2 linked regions of the Cricetulus griseus genome follow. The protein of the gene in region 2 interacts with the protein of the main gene of each other region in a biochemical or structural test. Links are inferred from orthologs where the notes say so. Each region holds a gene or a part of one and is shown on either strand. Other genes may lie near its edges.

Region 1 (4,426 bases), on a different chromosome or scaffold from region 2:
CCCCACAAAGGACGCTTTGAAGGACTGCAGGGGCAAGACAGGTAGCAGTGGGCTTGCCCACACCCAGAACCCCCAGGAACTCTCTCCCACATCTTCCTTGACCTCTTCTTTAGCTCATGTTTGTGCCTCTAAGTTGTGTGTGCCCACAGCGCCGAGCCCCACCCTGCCTCACCGTCACAGCTCCGCCTGGCGGTAATGTATCCGCTGATGCGTAGCTCTGGCCCACCTGCCCTCTCTAGGACCATCTGCAGCTCCCCCAGCACCAGCCAGTCCATCTCTTGGTCTGTCAGGCTGGGCAGCACCTCAGCAAAACCTGGCTCCTGGGAACAGAGCGGAATGTGGTGGACAACAAGAGGCCAGAGCAAGCAGCAGCAAGACCCAGGCCTCCCCTTACCTCAGCTGAGGTGTTGGCCTGGAGCTCTCGGAGTGGCTGTCCCTGGTGGAGAATCTGAAGCCTCAGGGGAACCTGAGCGGGACCTGCAAGGGCTGCACATGTGAGCATTTCTGAAAGTTGAGCTCCCTCCCTATACTCTCACCGGACGCCTTCTCACCTGCTTACCTTCATTCCTGGGTCCCAGCAGACCCCGGAAGAGCAACAAAAAATGTAAGGAGTCTTCTGTGTCACTGAGGGTGAGCAGGGCTATGCCCCCTACACCCCGATGCTGTGGGCCTTCCAGAGTAAGGGTGGCACTGAAGGTCTCTGGGGAATGGAGGGCATGACAGCCATCAGAGGAGCCTCTCGTGAGTCCACCCACCCCTGGATAGAGAAGGCTCAGTCTTTTCTATCTGGGAACTCTTCACTCTTCCTACCTGCAGCCAGAGCACCTTGCCAAATGAGAGGCCCCCAGACTTCTCCTGAAGGGTGAGTGGGTGTCACCAGGGCTACATGCAGCTGTTCTGCCCTCAGGAGCCTCTGAGATAGCCGAGGCATTGCACGCCACACCCCACAAACCTACAGCAAAGAGACAAGGAAGTCTACAGTCACTATGCAGGACAAGCCAGCTAAGAGGCCCAGTCCTGGTGAGGGAGGAGTATGGAAGGGAGACCCCAGACCCTCCTAAAAAGGACCCAGGATCCTTGAGTTCAAGTCCTGGCTTACCACTTGCTAGCCAAATGACCTTGAACAAATCACATTCTGCTATTCTGAGCCTCAGTTCCCTCCTCTGTAAAATGGGCATCATAATGTCAGGGCCTTTCTCCCACTGGGCTGTTGTGAGAACCAAAGGAGGCAATGCCAACCATGCTCTCAGCAAGTGCCCATTTTGGATAAGTACACGTAAGTGGCATCATCTCACCAGGCCATCCTGGGTGGGGGCAGCAGGGTGTTCAAACAGGATGTTGCCGGTGGGATCTGTGAACCGAACCCGGCTGGGGCGGTCCAGCCTGTGAAGAAAGGTCCAGTGAGACTGGATCCAGAACCCGCAGTCTTCCCCCTTTCATGCCCCCATTCACTACTCCTAGCCGCGCTGCTCTTTCCCTGGTCTCACCGCTGGTAGGAGATAGAGAAGCGAAGACTTGAGCGCAGGAGAGAGACTCGAGCGCGAGCTACCGCCTGCGACCTCGGTCCTGTCAGCAGCGCCACAAAATCTGTGAGAAGAGAGGATGGCCTAAGCACTGTCAACCCTTGCCGCTGGCCCCAAACTTCGTCAGGCCCACTTCCACCCCAGCCTACCCGTGTGGCCATCAGCACGTGTCCGCTCGCCAGCGCCGGGATCCCCTCGATCGCTGTAACTGCGGTGCTCTGGGTCCCTTGGATACTCGAAGACTAGGCCAGCTGGCTGTCGGTCCAAATTGCTGCGCTCTGCGTTGGGGGGGGTAAGGAATAAGACCACTAGATTCAGCAGGGTACCAGGAGGGCCAGTCCTCCTCAGCGATCCAAGCCGCACAGAACCTAGTGTTGAGCCTTCCACCCTCCCTAACACGGGAGACAGTGGGCCTCACCCTGCGGGCAGGTCTGGCAGCAGTGTCCTGGCAGCTGGCGCGGCTGCCTGCAGGCCAGGGTGGGGCACTGGGGTTTGATGTTCTTGCAGCTGACCCTGCCAGGGCCCCTCCCACGGCGAGCCCACTGAGGCTGATGGCAGAGAACACAGGGAAATTAAGTGAGTGTAACGTGCAACCATCAGACGCCAGGGTAAGGTCCTCTGCTGGAATCAGTCAGCTCCGCTATTTACAAGTTACATGACCCTGGACAAGTTTCTTAACTTCTCTAAGTCTGCAAAGTAAGGCTAATTAATGCCATTTATCTAGCAAGGTTGCAATGGGATGGGGGAAGTTGGCTAAAAGCCAGTCACATAGTGGGCGATCAATAACTGTCAACACCGCAGACTTGAAAGGGGTTTCCCCAGATTTGAGGACCAGCCTTCCCCTGAGCATCTCCGAGGCTACTACGGCTTAGGACGCCAGCGTTCCGCTACCCTCTAGGGTAGGGCGGGCAGCTGCGGTATCCACTCACCGCTTCACAGGCGCACAGCACGCAGCGCATCACCCCAAAAGGCTCCCCCAGGTCCGGGTGCCACGTCTCGTCCAAGGCATAGACCTTCCCGCCGAAGGAGCAGCCTGTGGGGACGGGCTTGGCTGGCGGCCGCTGTCCGGTTGCTCGTGCCGTAATGCCTGCTCCGAGCTCTGCCCGCCAGGCCCTGGGTCCCTTGGCACCGTTGCGCCCCGCCGCCTCTGCTTACCCCTCCCGCCCTCCCGCTGCGCCGAGCCACCTGCGCCCGGGGCCCTGTCCCGGTGGGTGCAGACTTGCCCCGAGCCAGACTCCCCGCCCGCGCCTCCCCCCTGGAGCCCACCTACCTGCCGCTCCCCGAACAGGCAGCGGCTCCTTCTCAGGACGGATGGGCAGCGCGGGGGACTCGGGGCCAGTGCCACCGGCCGGCCGCGAGCCGAGGAGCAGCAGCCCGAGGAGCAGCCGCGGGGCCGGCGGGGCCGGGAGGCTCGGCATGACGCGGAGCGGACAGCTGGGGAGGCGGGCGGGAGGAGGGAGCAGGAGAGGGAGTAGGGCCGGACCGGAGGCGGGCCGGCGGGAGGGGGCCGGGGCCAGGAGGGGGGCAGTGGCGAGGGGCTCGTCTCGCAGTCGCGGAGTCCGCTCCCGGCCGGGCGGGGCGGGAGAGCTCGGGCGGCTGGGCGCTGACCCGGGCCGTACGCCGCTGTAGTGCCCTAGGCGCTGGCTCCGGCCCGTTTTATGCCCGCGCCAGGAGTCCCGGCCCGGGGCCTCCTCCTCAGCAAACGGGGCGCGGCGGCGGCTCCGCAAGGAGCCCGGCTGAGCCCGGGGGGTCCGGCCCAGCAGCAGCGGCCGGATCGCGAGTGGGGGAGGGGGACAGGCTGGGACCCGGCAGGGGAGGAGGGAGGGACTGGAGGAGGGGGGAGCGGAGTGGGCAGGGGGAAGGGAGGAACCAGGGGGCGCAAAGGGGGGGAGGAGAGGCGGGCTTCGACACCCCCACACACACTCCTTGCGGCCACCCCTGTGGTATCCATCCAGAGAGACAGGAGCCTCAAGCTAAGTGAAAGGGCAGAGGCTGGGCCTCCGGCCTGTACCACTCATGGGCAGGATGGGCCCTGGAGGATGAGGACTTGTCTTTGAAAAGGACAACGATCTTCCCTGTCTAAGACCCAGGGCACCCTCCTCCTTTCACTCAGGCTGTATTCCTCTTTCCCTTCTAGGGTCTCTTCTCTTTCTGGAGTTCCCAGGCACAGGGACCAAGCCAGAATCAAGAAATGCTCCCCGCACCCAGTGGAGTAATAACCTCCCCCTTGTAACCTGTTCACAAGTCCATCCAACCATCACCTGGCTTTCCCACCCTTTCCTTCATCCAAGGGACCACTCTTTTTCCTCTCCTTTGTCCTGCCTCCCCATCTCCTCCACCCCCACCATTCTCACAACCATCCCAGCACCCGGCTTCCTAATCTTAGGAGGCATCTCTTCTGATTGAACTAGAGAATTCCGGGATCTGGGCCATACTCCTTAGTGGACAGCCCATCTTCAGAGCAGGCACAGGAGAAACCCTGAGGAAGAACAAGGGCAGAGCACAAGGTCAGGCCAGGAGATCCCTGAGGACAGAGACCGTGGGGAGACAGGCACTGAGGAGAAAGCACCGGAGCTAGAGCCAGGACCAAGGCAAGAAAGAGAAGAGCCAGCAGAGTTATTTGTGGGGGAGGCTCAGCAGCTGTCTCTCCTAAGACGGGGACAGATGGGCCTGGTTATTTCTCTTGTCACATGTATAGTGGTAGGAACGGGAGAGGGCCATTGGGCAACCAAGGGCAGGCTTACAAACAGAGCTGTGTGGTTAGTTGTTCAGGTCCCTGTGCCCCTTGTAGAAGAAAGGCATCTGAGTCCAGTCAATCTGTCTGGTTTTCCTTCTTTTTCAGACAGGTTCTCATTATGTAGCCATGGCTGGCTGGAACATGCTAGGTAGACCAGGCTAGCCTC
Region 2 (3,800 bases):
AAAGCCCACGTGTGGGTCTAAGAGGTCAGAAGAGTGACTGGAGATGTGTCTCTCTGCTCTTGCAGGGAACCCAAGTTTGGTTCCCAGCACCCTTATCAGACAGCTTACAAATGCTTGTAACTTCAGCTCCAGGAGGATCTGACGCCTCTGGCCTCTTCGGGCCCTGCACTCACATGTACACACCCCATACACATAATATAATTTAAAAACAAAGGAGGACATTAGCCTTCTTGGGTTGGAGAGCTATCTGGGAAACAGGAGGCGGTTTACAAGGGACTGCTCTTGAGAAGCCCTGAGGGTTTCCAGGGACAGAAGCTCCCCCTTTCTCCAACAGCATTAAGAGTCAGCAACAGAACAGAATAGTATGGGAAGTCCCAAGATCTTTTCACCTCAGGTATTCAAACAAGGCTAATCCATCCCATGCAGTGGGAGACTGCACTGGCAAGCTTGTGGGCCCCTCACGCATTTGGTTCTACTCTGCTGGCATATATGAGCAGCAGGCAGAGCAGGACCTGAGGGTCCCAGACCACAGGGGTGGAGGGACGGCCATAGCCAGAAGCATCTTGCTGGAGGCATTTGCCTTGCTCTTAATTGTTCTCAGGACCACAGCATGTGAGAACTGAGAAGGGCCCTTTGGGAATCCCTGACTCAAGCTCTGACGATATAGAGGAGAGAGCCAAGGGCTGGGGCTGAGTGGTTCACCCAAGGCCACCCAGGGCATCCCAGAAAAGGCTGGGATTGAACCCAGTCCTAGGAATGGTTCTCATCTTACCCTGTCCTTGTTAACTGTATGACCTGGACAAGTTACTTAATATTCCTGTGATCCAGTTTCCTCCTCTATAACATGAAGACTCAGGGCATCCATGAAAATTAAAAGAGGGGCCATATGACAGGCACTTTAGAAAGCACTCAAGAAGAGCTACACAATCGCAATAGCACTACCTGGCAACTGTACATAGCAACACTATCTTCAGATTAGCGCTGATGCACAGCTGGTCGGGGAGAATGGGGACAGCGTGAGGCTAGAACTGGTGGGAGCCCCCCTCATGGCATACTTAATGCATTCATGCTGATGACCAGGTAGGTCACCCTGTATCAGAAGTTCACGGGCTGAGGCTCCTGGAGGGAGATGCTCTCCCACTTCCGGGGTCCCAAGAGAGGAAGGAAGACTCAGACAGGTGGTCAATCACAGTTACCTTCTCCCCGGGCGTGACTGAGATGCGCCATACACAGTGCATGTGGGCAGAGTAGCCGTTGGGGAACTCGGGGGAGGAGAAGTTGCCGGTGCTGTCTTGGAGGGTCTCGCCACAGGCTGTCAAGGCAAAAAAGTAACCAGGCTACTGACTGCAGGTGCCAGACGCCCAACTCTGGCTCACCCCTAAGCTCTAGAATCCATTGGGGAGACAAGAGTGGCTGAAGAGAGGGGTTCTGTTCCTTTAAGATACACCCCCTCCTCCTTACATATAAGCAGAAACCATCCTACTTTCCTGGTCTAGTGCTGCCAGGGTAACCAGATGTCCTGTTGTCAAGGCAACATGGATTCCAGAGTTCAGGTCAAGCTCTTTCGGTGGGCCTCGCCTCCTCCTCACTGCCCAGGAGAGAGGCTAGTTGCTGCCCCTTCCTGCCCCTACTTATCCTCACCCTTCTGGTCCTCCCTACCACCTACCAGCCTGGCCCCAGTTTGGTCCTTAACTGGAAACACTGTCCCTTCCTTATTGTTCCCCCTTCCCAACACCCTTCTTGGAGACTGACAGCTGTGACTTTCTAGGTGGTCCTGGGCCCTGGCCTCGGCCTTCCTTGGACTCTACCCTCCATCCCCCCCGGTCTGTCCCTTCCCTGTTCTAACCTGGGCATTTGTAGAGTTTCCGGGCCTGAGCGATGTCCCCCTTGCTGAGTCTGGTCCTTTGACCGATGGACGGCTTCACCCCGTTCACCTCATACTTGGGGACAATGGTGTCCAGGAAGATACCCCTGAGGAGGACATGAGGAGACTGAGGACATGAGTCTTCTGGAAGGTGGATAAAGAAGAAGGGAAGTGTGCTCATCCACACCCACAGGGCATGACACTGCCAGGGCCCAGACATTCCTCGGCAGGGTCAGGGAAGGGTGGAGATGTCTCACCCCGTCATTAAGCTGCCCACTGACCAGCAGCTACCCTCTTCCGTGGCAGCTACACCACAGGGGCTGGGGGGGGCAGAAATGCTTTGAGGATGAGGGGCCCAGGCCCTTGATGTTCAGACTGGCTTCAAATCCCAGCCCCTGGGATAGCTTTGGGCCCTCATTTGTCATCTCTGCAATGCCAGCCAGCTCCCATCTTCAGACCTCAAATGATGACTCAGTCCCAATCAACTTCTCTCAGGACTTCCCAGGGTCAACTCATTGCCCTCTAACATGGCTGTGATTGGAGCAAGACTGACAGCAGGTTCCGCAGTGGCCAGCCGGCTCTTAGGGCACAGTGTCTCTATTTCCCAATTCCTTTCCACTAAACTTTGTATTTCCATAGGGGAGGAGCAGAACTAAGAGGAGACAGCAGTTCTCACCATCCCTAGGGTCCCTGACTCACATCCAGCTGGGCAGGGCCCAGCAGGGGGTGTGGGTATGATGGGAAATGCAAGGAGGGTCTGTGGGGGTGGACGGCTGAATGAGTTCACTCTCTTCTCTTGTCTCCATTCCCGGGTCCAGAGCAGGAAGAAAGGGTCTAGAGGAGCTTAGAGAAGAAGGGGGAAAGGGCCACCACCCAGACAGGGATGGTAGAGGAAGGGCAGTGGAGGGAGGAGTGTGAGGAGTGGGGTACTTCCCCCAGTTCTGTAGGAGAATCTCCTCACATCAGGCCCTGGTTAAGGAGGTATCTTGCGAACTGACAATGGAGACCGGTCCAGGGTAAAGGCCAAGTTTTGTTCTAATTAGCCAGTCACAAAGCAGACAAAGCCAGTCCTGGTCTGTAATGAGCTACTTCAGAGGCTGAGGCACGACACTCAAAAGGCAAGACAACCTGTCTGAGGGTTAGTGAGACAGCTTAGTGAGTAGACACATGCCACCACATCTGCTAAACAGAGTTCGATCCCTAGAACCCACACTGTGGAAGGAGAGAAACATCTCCTGAAAGTTGTCCTCTGACCGCCAGGCAGTGGTGGCGCACGCCTTTAACTCAGCACTCAGGAGGCACAGGCAGTTGGATCTCTGTGAGTTTGAGGCCAGCCTGGTCTACAGAGCTAGTTCCAGGACAGAGAAACCCCGTGTCTGGGGAAAAAAAAAAGGAAGTTTTCCTCTGACCTCCTCAGGGTGCCATGTGGCATGTATGCTCACATATGCACACAAATTAATAAATGTAAGAAAAAAAAGAGAAAAGAATTCTAAGTTCAAACTCTGCCTGGGTTACATTCAAGACCAGTCTGGGTAACTTGGTGAGACCCTCTCTCAAAAATAAAAATTAGGGGCTGGAGAGATGGCTCAGTGGTTAAGAGGACTGACTGCTCTTCCAAAGGACCTGGATTCAATTCCCTGCACCCACGTGGTGGCTCACAAGTGTCTGTAACTCCAGTTCCAGAGAATGTGACAGCCACATATGATGGCAAAACACCATCACATAAAATGTGATGCACATAAAATAAAAGCAAATAAAAGCAAAATCATTAATAAATAAGTAAAAATAGGACTGGAGATGTTAGCTAGAGTGCACAAGACCCTGGTTTCAATTCCTAGAACTGCAAAACAAAACAAGAAGGTGGCGAGAGGCAGACTAGAAACTAGAAAGAGGTGATCTCCCTCGGAATCACAGGAAAAAGAAATATGCCCTGGTG

The links.
Region 1: of the proteins of Bmp1 (region 2) and Chrd, one has a biochemical effect on the other in vitro, tested with the Homo sapiens proteins (3 studies listed by BioGRID and IntAct). The link is inferred for Cricetulus griseus from reciprocal best matches to the Homo sapiens genes BMP1 and CHRD.

Annotation. Positions count from the first base shown.
Region 1 is NC_048597.1:67,916,467-67,920,892, forward strand, and holds the start of Chrd (chordin), read right to left. Parts: upstream 2,942-4,426; coding exon 2,794-2,941; intron 2,623-2,793; coding exon 2,453-2,622; intron 2,072-2,452; coding exon 1,942-2,071; intron 1,808-1,941; coding exon of another isoform or gene 1,802-1,807; coding exon 1,673-1,801; intron 1,588-1,672; coding exon 1,488-1,587; intron 1,384-1,487; coding exon 1,296-1,383; intron 953-1,295; coding exon 811-952; intron 701-810; coding exon 560-700; intron 478-559; coding exon 395-477; intron 321-394; coding exon 173-320; intron 25-172; coding exon 1-24. UniProt on the Homo sapiens protein: Dorsalizing factor. Key developmental protein that dorsalizes early vertebrate embryonic tissues by binding to ventralizing TGF-beta family bone morphogenetic proteins (BMPs) and sequestering them in latent complexes.
Region 2 is NW_023276807.1:225,147,543-225,151,342, forward strand, and holds part of Bmp1 (bone morphogenetic protein 1), read right to left. Parts: intron 1,972-3,800; coding exon 1,847-1,971; intron 1,313-1,846; coding exon 1,197-1,312; intron 1-1,196. UniProt on the Homo sapiens protein: Metalloprotease that plays key roles in regulating the formation of the extracellular matrix (ECM) via processing of various precursor proteins into mature functional enzymes or structural proteins.